Macaca mulatta: one gene and its partners. The protein of the gene in region 1 interacts with the protein of each later gene in a pairwise test. Links are inferred from orthologs where the notes say so. Each region holds a gene or a part of one and is shown in the gene's direction. Other genes may lie near its edges. The genes, in order: LDOC1, UTP14A and ZNF774.

Region 1 (6,785 bases):
TCCTTACACTGAACATTTATGGAACAACTAGTAAACACTGCCAGGTGCTGAAGATAAAATTAAGAGTGAGAGTGGATCCCTGCCTGCCAACTTCTCAGGTGGCGGAGCTGATAGCACAGGAGAGGCCAAAAGCTCACATTCTTCCTATCTCTTTTTTTCACTGCCCATCCTTTCACCAGTGTCATCTTCCCCAGGTCCCTGCTTGGGTCTTGGCCCTATTTCTCGGCTCTTTCCCAGTCTCCTACTCCCATGGATGATCATTCAATTCTATCCTAAAGGATTGAATTGAACTTCTTTAAAAATCTATTCAGCCAGTTTTATTACATCAGTCATTGTTTCACAATCGAGACTGATTCATGGTCAGAGATAAAATACACTGAACAATTTTTTTTTTTTTTCTGTTTCTCTTTTTTCTTTTTTCTGAGACGTTGTTTTGCTCTTGCTGCCCAGGCTGGAGTGCAATAGTGTGATCTCGGCTCACTGCAACCTCTGCCTCCTGGGTTCAAGTGATTTTCCTGCCTCAGTCTCCCAAGTAGCTGGGATTACAGGCACCTGCCACCACACCTGGCTAATTTTGTATTTTTTGGAAAGACGGGGTTTCTCCATGTTGGTCAGCCTGGTCTCGAACTCCTGACCTCAGGTGATCTGCCCCCCCCCCCGCCCTCGGCCTCCCAAAGTGCTGGGATTACAGGCATGAGCCACCATGCCCAACCTTACACTTAACAATTTAAAGAGTATTATTTAACACTTTGTGCAGCCACAACTTCTAATTTTTATCTCAGCATCTGCACTCTGAGATTATATTACACGCCAAACATTAATGAAGCCTCTACTCTGGGCCAGAACTTATCTAGACATTAGGGATAGACCAGATAGCAAAAGCAGTGTTTCTTTGACTTATATATTCTAAAATGGAAGCAGATGATGAGCAAAGTCCTATATATACATACGACATGGTGGCTAGTAGCACAATAAATGTTATGTAGATAAATGAAGCAGAGTAAAGGGTTACAGATTGGTGGCAGAGAACAGGGTGCTCTGATAGGTCCAGTGGTCAGAAAAGTTCTCTCTGAAAGCAGTAGGAGGAGTCAGGCAGCCAACTGGGATGACATCCTTGCAAAGGAGAAGGGATAGAAGGTGCAAAGGCTATGAAGCCAGAACTGCTTGATGGGTGTGAGAATCAGCAAGGAAGACAGTGATGAGAGCACAGCAGAAAATGGGAAGAGGCACAGGATAGAAGGAGGGGCCTTGTAGGCCTTGGCTGCAACTTTGCTCTTTATTCTGAGGTGAAACTACTGGAGGATTTTGAGCAGGGGCGTGAAGGGATCTAACTGTTTTTTGTTTGTTTGTTTGTTTGTTTTTGTTTTTTTTTTTAGAGATGGAGTCTCGCTTGGTAACCAAGGCTGGAGGAGTGCGCTGGCGCTATCTCGGCTCACTGCCACCTCCGCCTCCCGGGTTCAAGCGATTCTCCTGCCTTAGCCTCCTGAGTAGCTGGAACTACAGGCACCTGCCACCACGCCCCGCTAATATTTTGTATTTTTAGTAGAGACAGGGTTTCACCCTGTTAGCCAGGATGATCTCGATCTCCTGACTCGTGATCCGCCCTCCTTGGCCACCCAAAGTGCTAGGATTACAGGAGTGAGCCACCGCGCCCGATTCCTGTGGCTACTCTATGGAGAATATACTATAGGAAGAAAAGAGTGAAAGCTAAGTGATTAGTTGCAGCAGTCTGGGTGAGAAAGGCTGGGGATCAGGGTGGCAGTGGTAGAAATGACAAGTCATGACTGAATTGGCAATATATTTGAAAGCAGAGCCAACAATTCCTGTCGGCTCTAGGGATCCGTTTAAAGTAGAAAAACAAAATTATTTAAAAACACAAACATCTTAACAGTTCATTTTTAAGTACAGAATAAAACCCAGTGGCCAAAGGCACTAATAGCAGGACAAGAAATAGAGAATCAAAGATATGTGGGATGCCTGCAATTGATTATTGGATGCTGATTTTGCAAAACTTCTTTATATCCTGCTACTTAGGTTTGTTTTTTTTTGTTTGTTTGTTTTAAGGGAGTATGCCATATTATTCCCCTACTAAAGAAGTCACTGTTTAAATACTGCCTTTTTCATGAAAGGCAGGAACCCCTGAAGGTCTTCATGATCCTAAAAGGAAGTGTGAGTCCCACAGTGCAGCCAGCAGTGTCAATACTTCTCTGAGTGAGATTTAAACAAGAAAGAAAATGTGTTAATAAAACATCACGCCAAGAGAATCTAGTGGCCACAGACCCACGAAGGAACAACTGAGTTGTGAGAGTTGCCTAGGTAGAAGGGTGGCTAATCCTTTCAGTTTGAACAAATTTGCCTTCTCTGAGACCAAACTCAGCGCTCGCCAGGTCCTCTGCTAACGCAGGCCCCACAACCAGGAGCTAGGGGAGCCTACCCCAGCCTTTAACTGCCCGCCTAGAGACCTACCACAAGCCGGTGGTTCAGCGACCCAATGCATCCTTTTCCTGGCCACGCCCTCTTTGTCTAAACCCTTCCCATCCCGGCCACGCCCCCACGCAGCCGCGGCCGCCAGTCTGGCCACGCCCCTCCCGCGCCGCGCCGGCGCACCATCCGTCCGAATGGCCTCGTGGGCGGAGCTTGCGTAGCCTCCCGGACCCCGGCGCGCACCGCCCCCCGCCCCCAGCCCCTGGCCATCGAGCGTCTCCGTGGACACGCACTTCCTGCGAGGCCTCCGTGCGCACCTTGGCCGAGCCGAACCGAGCCGAGCCCTGTCCTTCCAGGCTGTTCGCAATGGTGGATGAGCTGGTGCTGCTGCTGCACGCGCTCCTGATGCGGCACCGCGCCCTGACCATCGAGAACAGCCAGCTCATGGAACAGCTGCGGCTGCTGGTGTGCGAGAGGGCCAGCCTGCTGCGCCAGGTACGTCCGCCGAGCTGCCCGGTGCCCTTCCCCGAAACGTTTAATGGCGAGAGCTCCCGGCTCCCTGAGTTTATCGTGCAGACAGCGTCTTACATGCTCGTGAACGAGAACCGATTCTGCAACGACGCCATGAAGGTGGCATTCCTAATCAGTCTCCTCACCGGGGAAGCCGAGGAGTGGGTGGTGCCCTACATCGAGATGGATAGCCCCATCCTAGGTGATTACCGAGCCTTCCTCGATGAGATGAAACAGTGCTTTGGCTGGGATGACGACGAAGACGACGACGACGAGGACGAAGAGGATAATTACTAGGCCCTCGGGCCTCGGGGGGAGGGCCCTGCACGCCGTCACCCCCTCCCCGCAGCCCTCACCCCGCCAGGAGCCAGTGCTCTCCCCCTTGCCCTCCGGTCCCCTTCCCTACCCGCGCCCGTCTGCTCTTTCTTCATTTCTCCGTAGTGCTTGTCTTTGTTCCAGGAATAGTGCTCCAGTTACCTGCTGCTGGGGTTGGGGCTGGAGCCTCACTCACTCGGAAGTGCTTGGAAGTGTCATCTACCCTGGCCATCCCGGGGATCCCTCCCCTGCTAATCTGAACTGTGTCCTGAACCCCAGCTATTGGCCAGGCCCCTGTTACAAACTGCGCAGACCACCCATAGCCCTGCTGCTGCCACCTGCCCTGCTGCCAGGCTTACATCTGCCCAGAGAACTATGCTGCCACTTCACATCCACTCACCACATCCCACCTACAGACTACCGCCTTTCGAGATCAGGACCAACCTGGAAAATGCCAGAGTTGGCTCTGCCTCTTCGGACATTGATTTGGACAGCTCACCAACCCCTGAAGAGGCCAGTCATTCAGCCTGGTTAGTTTTCTACCTACTCCGAGTGTCCTCCCCTGCCATACCAGATTGCTGCAGGGGCGCGGTGTGCCTGACAGCCAAATTGTTGATATTTCTTTTTTCCTATGCACTGGTTTTACACAGCTGTCATTTTTCTTTCAAAATTGCAGCAGTCCCACAGATGTATGCATTTGGACAAATAGTACTAAAAACAAAACAAACAAGCACTCAGCCCAGCTCCTCAATACTACCTGGAAAAAGCATTGGCATTATTTTCAATAAATATCAAGCACTAAAAAACGAAATGATTGTCTTTTAATAGTTAAGTGCTATCACTGACCTCTAGAACTGTCACTGTGACTACCGTTATTCCCATGGAAATCAGGGAATACAACCAATCCTAGGAATCCCTGCTGTCAACTCCAGGCTGCTGGGGACAGCTACCTCAGGGCTTTGTCAGGGTTCTGATGCTTCCTTCACCAACGCATTTCTTAAAGCCCTGGCAAAGGGTGTGTTCTCTGGGTCCTCCAGGGTGGCATGGGTAAGGGTTGGCTGAGCAGATGGCAAAGAGGGCAGTATTAATAATTAGACCGTAACAACAGGCATAAACCAGGACATATATATGTATTGCTCCTAATTCTCTGAGCTTTTGGATTCCTTAATATTGTGCCAGGGAAGTTCTGCCCCTTAATCCTTATTGCCTATATGCAGCTGTTGAGTTCAGGCTCCAGAGAGCCAACATAGTACATTGTCACTTTCAAACTCCAAATAGCCAACATGTCACTTACAGGTGCTCTAGCTAACATTAAGTCCCAGATCCTGGGCAAGTGCATCCATAAAGATATACCCTGATCTTAACAAACATTTCATCCTCCTTGGGCAGACATCCTTAGAATTTCCACTCATAGATGTGTCCCAGATTCCTCCCTATGGAAATTAGCAAGATGCTTGGTTATCTCTTAAATCAGACTTTGTACTGCTATCTGGGGGCTATGCTGAGATCTCTGGGCCTGGAGGGTTCAGAGCAGTGAAGGGGGTGGCTGCTGAGAAGAAACTGCATACCTGTGTGAGGCCATTGCCCCGGGTTAAGTCATTGAAATGTTTAATGCAGAGCAGCTTGGTTGGGGATTTGAGAGGACTACCTCTTAGAAAGGTTTAGGAGGATGTGAGGGGTTCAGAGTTCTCATTTATATCTGTCCAGATGTCCTCCCTCATTGTACCATGTCTGGAGCCAACTTCACTTTATAACCTTTAATTAATTTAGATAACACATTTCCTTACTGTTTAAGGCCTTTTGAGGCAAGATATTTCATTTGTACTGGTAAACCTCAGTGTTGATTAAATGAGATATGGGGCTTCATATTAATCACCTGATAGGTGTGGATTATATGAGATCATACCCATGCAGCATTTAGAACTTTCCCTGCTACATGGTGAGCACTCAGTAAACCATGGGCTGTTACTCCTGGGCCTGGGGACAGAATTCTCAGGAAGCAAGTCTCTGGCTCTGAGCGTGGCTTTAGTAGGAAAATGTCAGCGTAAAGAGGAGCAGAGCAGGTTCAGCGATAATGGAAATGAGAGCATGATAAGACCCCATTTACTTTTTGAAGTCTTATATGAAGCAAGAAACAAAGCTGTTTACGTGGTGAACAGGCAAAGTTCAGGGTAGGAATTATATCTCACACCTAGGATAGCTGTTTCTGGAGGGTGGGGACAGGGGTGAGTATGACTTAATAAAAGAGGCCAAGGCTTGGGTGGAAATGAGATCTGGGGCTCTTCGGGAAGCTGCTGCCTCCAAATCTGAATCAAGGAGACACCTGGTTATTTAGAATTCACTGATCACTTCTCCCAGTCTCCTTGGAAAATATACAAAAACCCTTGGAATACAGAGAGTTTATATTTGAGACATAATATGTGTGAGGCCAGATAATTACACTTTCTTCCTGACTAGAAAGGCCTTGAATTGGGGATAAATGGGGAAAAGTGAGCAAGATCTAAAAGGTAAAGGATCCAGTGAGACTAAAAATCATTTATTCCAAACTGATTATGGCCCAGTTATGCTGAGTGGAGTTATATCATTGAATAAAATGTCATCTCTGCCTTCATAGTTAGTCCAGTCTGCTACTTTTACTGTGCCTTGGGCCAGAACTTCGATGATTAGTTACAGGAAAGGGCCAGGAAGAGAATCTGGGCTGTGATTAGATCTAGGAATGACCTTTCTGGGGTGGAAGTTGAGGACATATGAGTATGTGTTCTGTGGAGGAAGGGAGGGTCAGTAAGGATGCCATGCCGAGGCAGCATCTGAATGGCATCTGGGAGAACTAGGCCAAGGAGCTTCTGTGATCTGAAATGTACATTTCCTGAGTATGTGTGCATGTGCACATGAGCTTGCTGTGACCCTGTATGTGTGTGCTGTGTGTGTGTGTGTGTATGTGTTAGGTGATGTCCTTCATGCATCATGGACGAACAGGTTATGCTGTGAGATGCACAAAAGGAAAGTGTGAGATTCTGGTTACTCTGGGGACAGATTCTGCAATAAAAGTGCAGATATTGGCAAGGGCTCCATCACCCAGGGAGGAATTCCTGATAATGGCATAAAGCATTGCAAAAAAGAAGGAAGAAGTAGAAGTATGTCTAAGGATGGAAGTGCCACTTCTATCAAAACTATTAAAAATAGGTAGGAATGCTGAACAAATATGAACTTCAGACTCCTGAATTCTCATTTTGGGTATAATAGACTTGAAATGGCCACTGAAATTATACTATCAATGAAATGAAATTAGTCATATTAGAGGTCATAATCATTTAATCATATTAAATATACCAATATATCTTTGGACTTTTCTATTCATTTGAATAGATAAGCACTGCCATCTATTAAGTCCGTGTTGCTGTATCCTGCAGAATGGTATATAAAGCTAGAGGTACTTTATGCACATGTATATTTGATTATTTTCTGCTATTAAAACATAGCTAAAACCTCAGTAATTTGGAAGTAGGCAGATTAGAGGGAGAAGTCTTGTTGAAATT
Region 2 (7,613 bases), about 11 Mb from region 1:
GGAGGATGCTTAGAAATATTAATCGTGAAACTGCCTTGCCTCCAGGGCTAGCAACAGCGTCTTTGGCCATATTATTCTAGGGTCTGACATTTTTACAGCTTCCCATAGGTCATAGGAAATGTTGTGCCAATCACTGAAAAGTGTTAGCTCTTTTACATGCAGTTTTGAGTCAGGCATCATTCCTGGAGGTGATGCCTGACATCAGTCTAAATTTCACGTCTTGACAAGTTTTCAAAGGCGTTCATGCTGCTTTATATATCTTCTGAGGGATAGGGCTATTCTGTGTTGAAGTTACAATGTTTACGAGATTGTTTTAATAGATTAGACATTGCTTCAAATAACAATGTTTCTCTATTAAATTTCAACTTTTATTATAATTAAGGGATACATATACAGGTTTGTTACATGGGTATATTGCATTCACATTTCTTTGTTGCCTCTTTTAACAGCCTTCTGGCTTTGAGCCAACAGGAAGAACTAGTAGATTTGCCAAAAGACTACCTCTTGAGTGGGAGTGAAGATGAGGTGGGTGACAATTGCTAAACTGCCTTCAAAATTAGGGTAGAGAGCACATTCCTGGAATGGAAAGGTGTGACAATATTCTATGTATTTGTTCAGGTCTCTCAAATTAATTACAAATGGTTAGTGTTTCATATATAAGTTACTGTATCATATTAAGTGCTATAAGGATTTGGAAACTAAGTTACACTCACTACCCGCAAGTTGCATAAGTATAATTTATAAAACCAACCAAAACAGGCCCGGCTGGTGGCTCACGCCTGTAATCCCAGCACTTTGGGAGGCCAAGGCAGGGAGATAACCTGAGGTCAGGAGTTCAAGACCAGCCTGGCCAACACGGCAAAACCCTGTGTCTACTAAAAATACAAAAATTAGCTGGGTGTGGTGGTGTGTGCCTATAATCCCAGCTACTATTGAACCCAGGAGGTGGAGGTTGCAGTAAGCCAAGATCACGCCACTGCACTCCAGTCTGGGCAATAGAGCAAGACTCCGTCTCAAAAAAAAAAAAAAAAAAAAAAAAAAGACTGAAACACATGGTCCTCATATGATATGATTTCCCAAGTTTGGATTTCTATAGAGCGTTATTTAATTATCTGACTGAAATATGCATATGTATTTTAAGCTGGATCTCCAACAGATGCTATAAGAATTCCAATTCTTTATTTCCCTTACAAAAAAACACTTTTTTTTTCCCTTGGGTTGGGGGCACACAACACATCTATTTTAATAACAAGGAGGGTGTTTTTTTTTGTCTATTTTTTTCTGCTTGTCGTGTTCTTCGTAGGAAAAGCCAACTTAACTTGGAGGCCGGGTGTGGTGACTCACACCTGTAATCCCAGCACTTTGGGAGGCCAAGGCGGGTGGATGACTGGAGGCCAGGAGTTCAAGACCAGTCTGGCCAACATGGTGAAACCCCGTCTTTACTAAAAATACAAAAATTAGTTGGGTGTGGTGGCACTCGCCTGTAATCCTAGCTATTCCAGTGGCTGGGGCAAGAGAATCACTTCCAGGAGGTGGAGGTTGCAGTGAGCTGAGATCACACCACTGCACTCCTTCCTGGGCAACAGAGCGAGACTCTGTCTCAAAGAAAAAAAAGCTAACTTTGTAACTGGCTATGACTTACACTATATGTCAGGGTTTCCATGTTAGATCATACTATATATTTTATACAGAAACACCATTTTAAGCCCTTTTTGTCTAGAAGCAAGTTAGGACAGACACATGACATTAGCTCCCTTTTAGTTTGAGCTGGAATGCTTGCACACCAGACCTCTTCCAATTCCCCAGTTCTCTACTGACCAAAAGAACAAGAGATTTGGCCGGGCGTGGTGGCTCACGCCTGTAATCTCAACACTTTGGGAGGCCAAGGCAGGCAAATCACAAGGTCAGGAGATCGAGACCATCCTGGCTAACACAGTGAAACCCCATCTCTACTAAAAATACAAAAAATTAGCCAGGTGTAGTGGCGGGCGCCTGTGGTCCCAGCTACTCAGGAGGCTGAGGCAAGAGATTGGCATGAACCCGGTGGTGGAGCTTGCAATGAGCTGAGATCATGTCACTGCACTCCAGCCTGGACCACAGAGCGAGACTCTGTCTCATAAATAAATAAATAAAGAGCAAGAGATTTTATGTGAGACTCAATTTCCATGTTGTCTTTTCCCTCCCCCTCATCGTGATGGTTTTTCCTTTTCTGTGTCTTAGGGGGACAATGATGGAGAGAGAGAGCATCAAAAGCTTCTGGAAGCAATCAGTTCCCTTGATGGAAAGAATAGGTAACGTTCCTGTCAGTTACGGCAGGTTATATAGTTGATTCCATGAGATTTCTCTGCAGCTAATATTTATTGAGTGCTTCATGTAAAGACCTTAATACCAGTGCCTAGCATATAGTAAGCATTATGTAATTGTTAGCTATTACTAGTCTTAGTGCTATTACTGTAAGCATTTGCAGTCTTATTCCACAATGAAAATCTTTTAAAGCATTGAGTAGGCATTACTTAACCCCATTAGAGAAGTAAATTGACTTACCCCCAAGGTCAGCTGGCTAATATGTTATAGGTTCAGGTGTGTTTAATCTAAGTCCAATATGTTTTCCACTATGCTTACCTTGTAATAAAGAGAAGAGATGAGGGTTAGATAACCAAGTCCAAGTTAGGAACAGATCTCCTTGCTGCATCATGACAAAACCTGACCCTAGAAGAAATACAAGAAACCAAAGCCCTGTATGAAGAGAGAAGTGTTTGTCTCTCCCACCCCTAAGCCCCCATAAAATTTATCCATTCCTATTATATCGTTTTGCCTAATTTCAGGCGGAAATTGGCTGAGAGGTCTGAGGCTAGTCTGAAGGTGTCAGAGTTCAATGTCAGTTCTGAAGGTAAGTTGAACAAAAGAAGATACCCATGCATGAAACTTGTGGGGTTCCAAGGGCATAGTGTTCACCTCACCTCCCAGGAACTGTTTTTGATGTGGTTAATGACTCATACCATAAATACCTGGGAGAGTGGGTGAAGAAGTGTAGTCAGATGCCCTTCAGTTTCTTCCATCTCTCAAAGCCTAGAAGGCTGTGGTCAAGGTATGCTACCGAGTTTGATGAGATACTTCTAGGATAGAGGGACATGAATGAAGACAGCTGCCTCTTAGTAACTTAGTCATAATTCATATTTGTACAATTTCATTTTAATTTCAGTTCTCTTAACAATGCTTTGAGTTAGGAGACAGGCAAATGTTCTCTTCAGCCAGAGCTCAGAGAAGTCAAGTTACTTGTTCAAGGGCCTTTGCCTAGTACAGTGTTTTTCAACCTTTGCTTTTTTACTGCTCCCCTGAGAGGAGCCTTTTAAGACATTTTTTCCTCATTGTATCCCTCCCACTATGCCCCTTCCCCAGGAAATCAAGTCCTAAGGAATAAGAGTTTGTTGGACAGAGTTGAGCCTTGGAGGGACACAAAACATTGTAATATCTAAGATTCTTTTCATACTCCTCCAGAAAGAACCAATTTTCACCCTGGGGTGGGGGGGGTGGTAAAAATTGCCCCTGTTCAGAATACATGCTCTAATAAGTGGCAGCCGTGGGATTTTATCCTAATACTGAGTCTAGATGCCAAATCTTTTTCACCCTGTTCACAACTTAGGCAGCTAGAATGGGTTTTGCATTCGTAGTAATCACTGGTGTAGCCTCCTAGGGCAAATAACAATGTATTCCAAGCATACTCATTCAGCGGATATTTATTGTGTTTCTACTAGGTAGCAGTATCAGGAAGTGTTGTAGATACCAAGGCCACAGTAGCGAATAAGATGTGAGCTCCTGGGGCTTACTTTCTAATAAAGGGAGACAATAAGAGAGGATGATGCAATAAAGCGACTAAGTGGCTACTTTAGATTGGTTGGTCATGAAAGGCCCCTGAAGAGGCAAAATTGAAGCTGAGATCTGAATGACAAGTCAAGTGAACCATGCAAAGATTAGGGAAAGTATTTCAGGCCAGGGAACAGCTAGCACAAAGGCTCTAAGGTAGAAACATGCACAGCATGTTGAAGAATGGGAAAGAGGACCCTGTGACAAGAGCATGGTGGAGGGTGGGGGGTGACATGAGGTTAGAGAGGCAGATGGGGATTAGATCTCATAGGACCGTGTCGTTTAGGTAGATGAGATTCAAAGTATAATGGGGAGTCACTGGAGGATTTTCAGCAGCGTCATGACATGCTGTGGTTTATATTTTCAAAAGATCATTTTGGGCTGGGTGCAGTGGTTTACACCTGTAATCCCCAGCATTTTGGGAGGCCGAGGTGGGCAGACTGCTTCAGCCCAGCAGTTTGAGGCTGGCCTGGGCAACATGGCACAACCCTATCTCTACAAAAAAAGATGCAAAAAATTAGCCATGCGTGGTGGCACATGCCTATAGTGCCAGCTACTTGGGAGGCTGAAGTGGGAGGATTGCCTGAGCCTGGGAGGCAGAGATGGCATCACTGCTCTCCAGCCTAAGTGACAGAGTGAAACCCTGTCTCAAAAGAAAACAAACAAAAGAAATACCACTTTGGTTGTTTTTATTTTTGGCTGTTATGTGAAGAATGAATTGCAATAGGGCAAGAGTAGAAGCACCAGGAGAAAAGAAAATGAGTTTTGAATAAACATTTTCCCCTATCTTCTACCCCCTAACACGTTTGGGGATAAATGTAGAGTGATAGTGTTGGCCTGGCTAGAAATAGGCAATTGAAGTAAGAGAATTATTCCTGCTTCTCTGCACATTTGCCATCTACTGGCATTTTCTACTGAGGCTTCTGCCTACATTATATTGAGATCTTGCCTCACTTCTTGGTCTGACTAGAAAGTTTGACCTTTCTACAGGATCAGGAGAAAAGCTGGTCCTTGCAGATCTGCTTGAGCCTGTTAAAACTTCATCTTCTTTGGCCACTGTGAAAAAGCAACTGAATAGAGTCAAATCAAAGAAGACAGTGGAGTTACCTCTGAACAAAGAAGAGATTGAACGGGTAAGCTATACAGAAGGTGGTCTATTAAGGGAAAGAAATTGTGTTGACAAGGGAAAATAGGGTAATAGAAAGAAGGGAAAGACCTGAAAAATGGGAGAAGGGGGAGCTGTGATTTCCCCACTATGGATAAGATTAAAAATAATCTAGGAGTGCCAGGCGCAGTGGCTCACGTCTGTAATCCCAGCACTTTGGGAAGCCGAGGCAGGCGGATCACCTGAGGTCAAGAGTTCGAGATCAGCCTGGCCAGCATGGTGAAACCCCGTCTCTACTAAAAATGCAAAATGAGCCTGGTGTGGTGGCACACGCCTGTAATCCCAGCTACTTGGGAGGCTGAGGCAGGGGAATCGCTTGAACCAGGAGGTAGAGGTTGCAGTGAGCCGAGATCGTACCATTGCTCTCCGGCCTGGGCGACACAAGTGAAACTCCATCTAAATAATAATAATCTAGGAGAAATTGCAGTCCTGAGAAGCAAGCAGTAACCTCTAGCATCCTGATTCTTTCGTGGGCTAAGAAACGTTGTTTCCTAATTTCTTGTTAGTCCTTTGGGTTTGATGCTTTAATCTTGTGGCTCTTTCCTTTTACATACTTTGTCTGCTTCAGATCCACAGAGAAGTAGCATTCAATAAAACCGCAAAAGTCCTCTCCAAATGGGACCCTGTCGTCCTGAAGAACCGGCAGGCAGAGCAGCTGGTTTTTCCACTGGAGAAGGAGGAGCCAGCCATTGCTCCCATTGAACATGTGCTCAGTGGCTGGAAGGTGAGTACAACAAAATGAAACTGAACTTCATTGAAAGGTGAGATTTTATAAGTTGGAGATTTCAGAGCCTGCAATTGATTTGATTGGACATGTTAAGCTAAACCCCAGCATAAGTCATTTTAGCTTAGTGCTCAGAAGGAAGGGATTGCCCATAGTCATTGTCAGTCATGTGACTGACATGTCAGTCACAATAGCTCTGTGATCACTTTTTTTTTTTTTCTTGAGACAGGGTCTCGCTCCGTCACCCAGGCTGGAGTGCGGTGGCACGATCTCAGCTCACTGCAACCTCCGCCTCCTAGGTTCAAGCGATTCTCCTGCCTTAGCCTCCCAAGTAGCTAGGATTACTGGCACGCACCAACACACCCAGCTAAATTTTTTGGGGGATTTTTAGTAGATACAGGGTTTCGCCATGTTGGCCAGGCTGATCTCAAACTCCTGACCTCAAATGACCCGCCCACCTCAGTCTCCCAAAAGTTTTGTGATTACAGGAATGATGAGCCAACGCGCCCAGTCTCTGTGTCACTTTTCATCTGCTTGTAGTATACAGTACTTGGCTATTTCCATGTTTTTGTGTTAAACCATGTGATTGCCCTTATAGCGGGAACATAATAATGTTTTCTTTCTTTTACTCCAGTTTTTTAAAAGCATTTAAAGCCACATTCTGATCCTAGGGAAATCAGGAACTCGGTAGTATTAATGATGCCTTAGTGAGGATATGTGAACAACAGAAGCCAAAGTTTGCTTGTACAGGAATGAATACCACATTAAAATATGTGTTGCTGGCAATGACTAGAACTTCAGCAGGTGACTTATTATGACTCTGAGCTGCAGGGCAGGGGTTTAGAGCTGGGTTTCCCAAACACTAACCCCTAACAAAGTTTTTGTCTAAAACAAAAGGATAATTGTAAGTATGTTTGTTTGGTGGGTGTAATGTTGCCAGTTCTTTTTTATTATGAGGTTATTCTTTCTATTTTAGTGGTGTTGAAATGTCTTTTCTTCTATGAAATGATGGTGGTAGTAAATGATGGGATTGGGGATGAAATGGTAGTTATGCTCTTGGCAAAATTAGAAGTTGGAAATCCTATGTTGGTCCCTAAAGTCTCGGTTTTTAGTCTGAATAGCTGCTTTAGAACAGCTAGCCTACTTTTCCAATACACCATTGGTATGGAGTCTATAGTCTATAATGGGCTGATTAATCTTAAATAGATGCCCTCTTTGTGCTTCTCCTCTTTACTTTCCAAAAACCCAAGAATAGTAGTTTCTTAGGTGTTGGGAAGTTGAGCTAATTAAAGCTAATCAAAGTAAACATTGCTTGCCACAATAGCTAGAAATTGAGCGAGTAGTTGCTTATTATGGGGATAAGCTGTTTCTGATGTTTTTGCTGAAGTCACTACCATTCTCTTTCTAGGAGGCTTCCTTTTCTACATGAAAAAGAGATCAGGTTTAAAGTGTGGCTGCAGGATGAAGGGAGACTTTAGAAAAAAAAAAAATCAGAGGTAATACAATTTGTAGGATTCAAAAATAAAAAAGCATAGAAGATATGTAGTGAAAAGTTTGACTCCACCCTCTGCCCCATCTGATCATTTTTACCCCCATACTCACCACTTGCATAAGTTTGCTGTTGTTGTTGTTGAGTTTCATTTTTATATTCACGTTTACCTCCTTTTTAAATAAAAAGAATGGTAGCATGCTACTACACACTGTCCTCCACCTTGCTTTTTCCAAATGACAGTGTAATCTTGGAGATAGCAGGAAAATGCCAAGTTTGTTATTAAAAACGAGATGGGGCCGGGCGTGGTGGCTCACGCCTGTAATCCCAGCACTTTGGGAGGCCGAGGCGGGTGGATCACCTGAGGTCAG
Region 3 (7,713 bases), on another chromosome or scaffold:
CCGGATATTTCTTCCGGATATTTTCTGCTTCCCTTTTCCGCTACTCAAAGGGATGGTCCTCCTTGTACTGGAACTTCATGATGAATCACATGGCTTCCGAGATTCCCGCGCAGGGCCTGCCTTCTTCGCCGCTGACCGCAGGCCGCGTCCCGCTCCCTCCGCTGATGTGTGCTCAGAATAGGGGCAGAAATATCAACAGCGGTGGTCCGAGTGTGCGGGCGGGCGGAATGTGGGGTGGGAGGGGGACCTCAGGTGCTCCTGCCTGGTGGTAGAGGAAAGCCAGGTGGAGAAATACTGGCGGCTTTTCCGAACAGCTGGGAGCACAAAACCAAATATTTGGTTTTTCAACCAATAAATTTGGGGGTAATTTGTTACACAGCAACAGATGATAGACTCTCTCTTTAAAAAAAAATCAGTTCTGGCCGGGTGCGATGGCTCACGCCTGTAACCGCAGCACTTTGGGAGGCCGAGGCAGGCGGATCACCTGAGGTCAGGAGTTCGAGACCAGCTTTGCCAACATGGTGAAAACCGGTCTCTACTAAAGATATAAAAAATTAGCCGGCGTGGTGGTGCACGCCTGTAATCCTAGCTACTTGGGAGGCTGAGGCAGGAGAATTGCTTGAACCCAGGAGGCGGAGGTTGCAGTGAGCTGCAGTCGCGCCACTGTACTCCAGCCTGGGCAACAGGGCAAGACTCAGTCTCAAAAAATAAAATAAAATAAATAAAACAAAATAAATTCAGTTCTATTAACTGCTGAAGTCTTTCTCTGTTTTCATGCTCCTTGAAGTCCTTTCACAGTTTTTCCTCGCTCCTCTATGCCTCCTCTCAGCCACGCCCTTTAGCACCCAACCCCCAACAGGTCATGATCCTCTCTTCAGGTGGCCATTGCGGGTACACGATTGGTTTCCTGCACTGACTGCTCTTGTCATGAGACCAAACTTCCTTTCCATCACTCCCCACACACCTGATCATTGTGAACAAACCGCTGAGAGAACAAGGTAAGGCAGAAGGAACAGAAGCTGGAGAGAGTGACAGGGATAGCCACCAGCCAGATTCTGTGACTCTTCATTCATCTCCCCACTCCAGTCCCAGATTGAAGAGTAATCTTCATGATCTCCCTGATGGCAAAATGCTAGAAAGACTTACCGAGGGGCCTGAAGATGCCTTCAGTTCTCCAGGTCCTGAACTCTGTCAGTTACAGAAGGCCTGGCAATCCCTAGGTTTCCTGGGCATTCCTTTGTTACTGAGCTCCTCTGGGATTTCCATTTTCCTCATTTTCATCTGACTAAATCTAACTACATCTAACTACCTCTGCTAACCAGGTATTTGTTCACAGTCGACAGAGTTTCTGAAAATGCAATGTAGTTATCTTGCAGATGACTACAATTGTAGCAAAATAACTAAGATGCAACTGGCTATATGAAAAAAAAAAAGACAAAATATTACTTAGGATTTTTTTTTTTTTTTTTTGAGACGGAGTCTCACTGTGTCGCCCAGGCTGGAGTGCAGTGGCCGGATCTCAGCTCACTGCAAGCTCTGCCTCCCGGGTTTTTACGCCATTCTCCTGCCTCAGCCTCCCGAGTAGCCGGGACTACAGGCGCCCGCCACCTCGCCCGGCTAGTTTTTTGTATTTTTTTGTAGAGACGGGGTTTCACCGTGTTAGCCAGGATGATCTCGAACTCCTGACCTCGTGATCCGCCCGTCTCGGCCTCCCAAAGTGCTGGGATTACAGGCTTGAGCCACCGCGCCCGGCCTACTTAGGATTTTGATACCTTTTATGGTTTATCTCCCCTTTTGGCCTGTAAACTTCATGAAGGTAATGGTTATGTATGATTCCCGAGTAACCACAGTTCCCAGAACGATCTTGAGTATAGAATGTTCCCAATAAATATCCACTGGAAAATGCACCCTATTTTTGTTGAAGGAATGGTGGAATTAGCATCAAAGGGATCTTCAACATTAACTCTATGGCTAGCAATTCTAAGCGTTTTATAGTACATCACAAAATGGTCTTTCTTTTTCTAAATTACACTGAATCAACAAACGGAGTAGACAGGCACATTTTCTTCACTTTAAGGAAAGACATTATTTTTTAGCTAGGGGCCGACCCAAAGTGACCACTGGCTTTCACATGAGACCCAGGAGCCTCCCCAGTTTGAAGCCCAATATCACATTTCCCAGAATACTTGATGCCCTCGCCCGCCTCCTCTGGCTATCAACCAGACGGAAAGGGGATGCGCCTGGGAGTTTGATGCCAAGGGAAGGATACGGAATGTCTGTTTTCTCCTAAGGGCGTCTGCTGGGCCTTCCTTATGTCCAGTTTGAGTTGGTCTGGGACCCGGCCTCCGCAAACACTCTGCAGGCTCCGGCCGCCGGGTGTGAGGTGGAAGACTGGGCAGAAGAGAGGCTGCAAAGGCCAGAGGGCTGAGCTGCTCTGCGCTGGGGAGGGGCGAGGTGCCAGAGCGCGGGAGACCTCACGTTGGGCACCAGGCTGCTCCGCGGTAGGTGGGTGAGGCCAGGAGATTCACATCAGCAGATGCCACACTGAGGGTACGGCATTTAGATCCCTAGGCTCCAAACAGGCGGTTCCTGGGGGCCGGTAGCTGGGGAATTGGGTTTAGCACTTTTCAACGCTTGGAACTGGATATCCAAGGCTCCGAGTCCTTTGAGGTCTTGCTCGGGACTACGTTTCCCAGAAGGCTAGGCGGTAATTGATAGCTCTGTCAGCCTATGGACAGAGAAACATTCTAGCCATGGAAACTAAAAAGCCAATAGCAAGAGGACAGGGGCGGTACTTTCCGGCTGCGAGCTGTCGAAGCCTGAGTCCCACCTGTGTCCCCACAGCCCTGTCACGAATCCCGGTCGGGTTCTGGGAGGGACCGCCTCGGGGTTGCGGGCCGGGTGCGGCTCGGCGGTGGAGGACTCACTTCCTGCTCCATCCCCAGCTGGGCCCTGGGGCGGTGAGTGATCCAAGGAGGGAGACTGCGGCGGCAGCGGCGCGCTGCTGAGAGGCGTGGAGGGGGCTCGCCCGCCACCCAGACGTTTTCTCAGAGGGGTTCCCACGCTGGCCTTTGGGAGCCCCCGGGTCTTGCTGGGGTGTGGGAGAGGTAGCTGTGGTCTCTATACCGTCGTCGAGATAAGTCATTCTCTTAATGAGTTTTCTTGCTTCTCGATGGTGGTCCCCGGGTTTCAGCTGATCTGCCACCCTCTGACCGCCGCACCCTGGTTAGGGCCCCAGCACCGAGAAGAAGAACGGGGTTCAGCCCCACGCGTGCAGTCATGTTCCTATTAATAAACCCGGTGAACGCACTGGAGATTCTCACAATGGCACTTAGTCACAGCCCCTCAGAGCTGTAGGGCCTTTGAGGTCATCTGCGCATGGGGAAAGGGACGGGCTGGGAAACAGGGTTTCTATAACCGTGGCTAAGAAGTCTCCAGCAAGGGGGCCCTGCAGCTGTGTTTTGTAATGAATGTAGAAATAAAAATTATACTAAAAGCTCTTTTTTTTTTTTCCTTTTTCTTCTTCTACTTTTTTTTTTTTTTTTTTTTAGAGGGGATTTCGCTCTTGTTGCCCAGGCTGGAATGCAACGGTGCTATCTCCCTTCACTGTAGTCTCTGCCTCCCGGGTTCAAGCGATTCTCCTGCCGCAGCCTCCCGAGTAGTTGGGATTACAGGTGTGCGCCACCACACCCGGCTAATTTTGTATTCTTAGTAGAGACAGGGTTTCACCATGTTGGCCAGGTTGATCTCGAACTCCTGACCCCAGGTGATCTGCCCATCTCGTTCTCCCAAAGTGCTGGGATTACAGTCATGAGCCACAGCGCCCGACCAATACTGAAAACTGTTATTACCATTTTTACTTTCTAATTACATTATTGTTGTTTGTTAAAGTTTTAAACCAGAGCAATGGTTTTTAGATCCTTAAAAACTCAATACTTTATAAATGACCAATAATAATGTCTGTAAATACATAAATATTTTCCCCAAAAGTGTGTGTGTGTGTGTGTGTGTGTGTGTGTCTGTGTCTGTATCTGTGTTCCAGTAGTAAATAGGTGCTTTGTAGTGGGACAAAAGATGTGAAAGAGTAAAACTTCTTCACCCTAGTCTGGTCCTTCCTCCCGTGAAATGCAATATTCTTTGTAGTGGGTGGTCATGCTGGCTGAATTTTTTTTTTTTTTTTTTAAGGGAGAGACAGGGGCTCACTCTGTTGCTAGGCTGGAGTGCATGGAGTGCAGTGGCGCCATCATAGCTCACTGCAGCCTTGAACTCCTGGGCTGAAGTGATCCTCCCACCTCAGCCTCCTGAGTAGCTGGGACCACAAGTGCATGCCACCATGCCTGGCTGATTTTTAAAAGTTCTTTGTAGAGAAAGGGGTCTCAATATGTTGCTGAGGCTGGTGTATTGGAAAGTTTTTAAGGGAAAAAACATTATCTTAATTTCTTTGTGACTCCTATGCCTGGCAACATATTGATTGTTGAATAAATTACTGATCCATCCAGTAGTTGACTCTGACTATCCTCCAAAAAGTAATGTTTTTCATGATATTGCTGTCAATTTATTAATATATTAATGATTGGTTTCAGCCTCTAAGAGTTGTGTTTTGTGCTTATCCCCATTGACTTTCACTTATTTTTACAACCTATCCATGTCTTTTTTTAAAAAAAAAAAAACATGTCTTTTTCAGTCTTATTTCTGACTCCATTAAGATCTTGAAATAGAGTGGTATCCAACACAGTTCTCTTTGGGGTTCTGCATAATCTGTCCCTTGAGGTTGACCCCAAATCTGCAAGCCAAGAAGTCAGCTGTTCTCATAACTAATATGAGTATAGTTAAGTCCACAATTTCCTTGGTTGCTGAGGAAAATGAAGTTGGGGAGAATCAAAAGCTTTCCAGAAATCAAATTGTACCTACCAACTCTCTCCTTTGTTTACCTTGTTCATCGTGGACAATTTTTTCCTCAAAAAGTTAATGTATCTAAAAGACTGGGTTCTGTCCATGTGTTTGGGAGGCCTAGGCCTCTCTTAGTAATGGGAAAGTTGGCCAGGAGAAGATGTATGTAAAAACAGACTAAGAAAAGCAACCCTCTGTGGTTGACAGAATTTACCTCAGGACCATTCTGATCAGGTGTGGGGGGTTGTTTGTGTACACTGATGGCCATTTTTTGGCTTTCAGACAATGGTGAGAATACCTAGGGAGCTACTGATGCATATCGAGGTCTCTTGCTTTAGGAACTGATGACCCTTGATAATGTGGCTGAGGACTTCAGGGAAGAGTGGGTTACCTGGACACTGCTTAGAGAATCCTCTTCAGGAATGCCACCCAGCACAGTTAGAAGAATGGGCTATCAAAGGGTAAGAATGCTACTCTCCTTTATTTTATTTATTTATCTTGTTTTTTTGAGATGGGGTCTCGCTCTGTCATCCAGGCTGGAGTGCAGTGGCGTGATCTCGATTCACTGCAACCCTTGCCTCCTGGGCTCAAGCAATTCTCCCACCTCAACCTCCTGAGTAGCTGGGATCACAGGCATGTGCCACCATGCCCAGCTAGTTTTTGGTGTTTTTAGTAGAGACAGGATTTTGCTATGTTGGCCAGGCTGGTCTCAAACTCCTGAGCTCAAGCAATCCACTGCTTCCACCTTCCAAAGTGCTGGGATTATGGGTGCCACCATGCCTGGCCACTACTCTCCTTTAATTTGAAACTTAGATAAAGGGCCCAGGTCTGAGTAGTCTCTGGTGTGTTGGTGCCTTAGAGCTCCAGACCTCTGTAAGATTCATTGTTGCCTCCTTGGCAGAAAAAGAATTACGTCTTTATGCATTTTATGGTTTGTAAATATCTTTGCTATTTATTGTCTTTTTAATATCTCATCATAACTTTTTGATATATGTATTACTGTCCCCCTTTTCCAGCCTGGGTTGAACTCTCACCTCTGCCACTTAACTTTTGAGACTTCTGAGGTCTTTGTGGAAAAGGAGGTAATTTTTTCTGTCACTTAAAAACAGGCTGGGTGCAGTGGCTCACGCCTGTAATCCCAGCACTTTGATAGGCCGAGGTGGGTGGATCACAAGGTCAGGAGTTCAAGACCAGCCTGGCCAACATGATGAAACCCCATCTCTACTAAAAATATAAAAATCAGCTGCGTGTGGTAGCAGGCGCCTGTAATCCCAGTTACTCTGGAGACTGAGCAGGAGAATCGCTTGAACCTGGGAGGCGGAGGTTGCAGTCAGCCGAGACCGTACCATTGCACTCCAGCCTAGGCAATAGAGCAAGACTCTGTCTCAAACAAACAAACAAACAAACAAAATACCTCCAATTGCTCTTTCCCAAATATCCTGGCTACCCTTCCTTCTGCTTTACTTTTTTTTTTTTTTGTGGCAGAGTCTCACTCTGTCACCCAGGCTGTAGTGTTGTGGTGCGATCTCGGCTCACTGCAACCTCTGCCTCCTGGGTTCAAGCGATTCCTGGATAATTTTTTTGTATTTTTAGTAGAGATGGGTTATCTCCATGTGGGCCAGGTTGGTCTCAAACTCCTGACCTCAAGCGATCCGCTCACTTCGGCCTCCCAAAGTGCTGGGATTACAGGAGAGAGCCACCGCACTCTAATTTTTGTATTTTTAGTAGAGTTGAGGTTTCACCATGTTGGCCAGGCGGGTCTTGAACTCCTGACCTCAAGTGATCCACTGGCCTTGGCCTCCCAAAGTGCTGGGATTAGATGCGTGAGCCACTGCACCTGGCCTACTTCATCTATTATACAAGTAATGTATACTCATTAAAGCAAAAGACAATCAAAATGAAAACAAACGTCATCCCTAATCCCACCACTGAAGAGTTACTATCCTACCAGCATTTTTCTAAGCATGTATATGATTTTAAAACAAGCACAAAAGGATAATATTGGGATTATACTGTACATTCAGCTGCACATTCTTTCTTCCATGTTGTATCATGAATATATTTTGACAACAATAAATATCTTTCTTTACATCACTTAAAATAACCACCTAGTGTTTTGTTTTATGGAATACAATATTATTTTGTTGTTGAAGTCAAACATTAGATTGAACCATATATCTGACCTTTTTTTAACCTATAAAAATAGCAATTGCCTGAGCTACTTGGGAGGCTGAGGCAGGAGATCCCTTGAGCACAGGAGTTCCAGGCTGCAGTGAGCTATATAATTATTCCTTTGTTGTGGGACATTTAGGTCATTTCTAAATTTTCACCAGGTTGTGATAAACCTCTTTTAACTCATTTTTTAAAAGTGTTTTTTTATTGAAGTATAATTTTATCATTTCCTTAGAATTCTCAGAACTAGAATTGGTAGGTCAAAGAACAGATACATTTCTAAGGTATTTAATACTTTGCAAAATGCCTTCCAAGAAGATCGAATCAATTGATTTATTCCCACAAACATTATATGAAAGTATCCATTTCTTTATATTCTACCTTTCACAGTGGGTATAATAATTTAAATAGTCTGGGGCTGGGTGTGGTGGTTCATGCCTATAATCCCAGCATTTTGGGAGGTTGAGGCAGGAGGACCACTTGAGCTCTGAAGCTCAAGACCAGCCTGGGCAACATAATGAGACCCTGTCTCTACAAAAAGTTACATTAGCCAGGTGTAGGGGCTTGTGCCTGTGGTCCCAACTACTTGGGAGGCTGAGGTGAGAGAATCGCTTGAGCCAAGAGCTCGAGGATGCAGTGAACTGTGATTGT

The links.
Region 2: the proteins of LDOC1 (region 1) and UTP14A interact in binary tests that used the Homo sapiens proteins (3 or more experiments, as listed by UniProt). The two-hybrid records come from large-scale screens. The link is inferred for Macaca mulatta from reciprocal best matches to the Homo sapiens genes LDOC1 and UTP14A.
Region 3: the proteins of LDOC1 (region 1) and ZNF774 interact in binary tests that used the Homo sapiens proteins (3 or more experiments, as listed by UniProt). The two-hybrid records come from large-scale screens. The link is inferred for Macaca mulatta from reciprocal best matches to the Homo sapiens genes LDOC1 and ZNF774.

The regions. Positions count from the first base shown.
Region 1 is NC_133426.1:147,688,149-147,694,933, forward strand, and holds LDOC1 (protein LDOC1), read left to right. Parts: upstream 1-2,696; 5' UTR 2,697-2,790; coding exon 2,791-3,231; 3' UTR 3,232-4,046; downstream 4,047-6,785. UniProt on the Homo sapiens protein: May have an important role in the development and/or progression of some cancers.
Region 2 is NC_133426.1:136,361,852-136,369,464, forward strand, and holds part of UTP14A (U3 small nucleolar RNA-associated protein 14 homolog A), read left to right. Parts: intron 1-449; coding exon 450-525; intron 526-2,220; coding exon 2,221-2,291; intron 2,292-2,825; coding exon 2,826-2,890; intron 2,891-4,854; coding exon 4,855-4,997; intron 4,998-5,597; coding exon 5,598-5,753; intron 5,754-7,613. UniProt on the Homo sapiens protein: May be required for ribosome biogenesis.
Region 3 is NC_133412.1:80,235,802-80,243,514, forward strand, and holds the start of ZNF774 (zinc finger protein 774), read left to right. Parts: upstream 1-2,780; 5' UTR 2,781-2,960; intron 2,961-5,228; 5' UTR 5,229-5,247; coding exon 5,248-5,351; intron 5,352-7,713.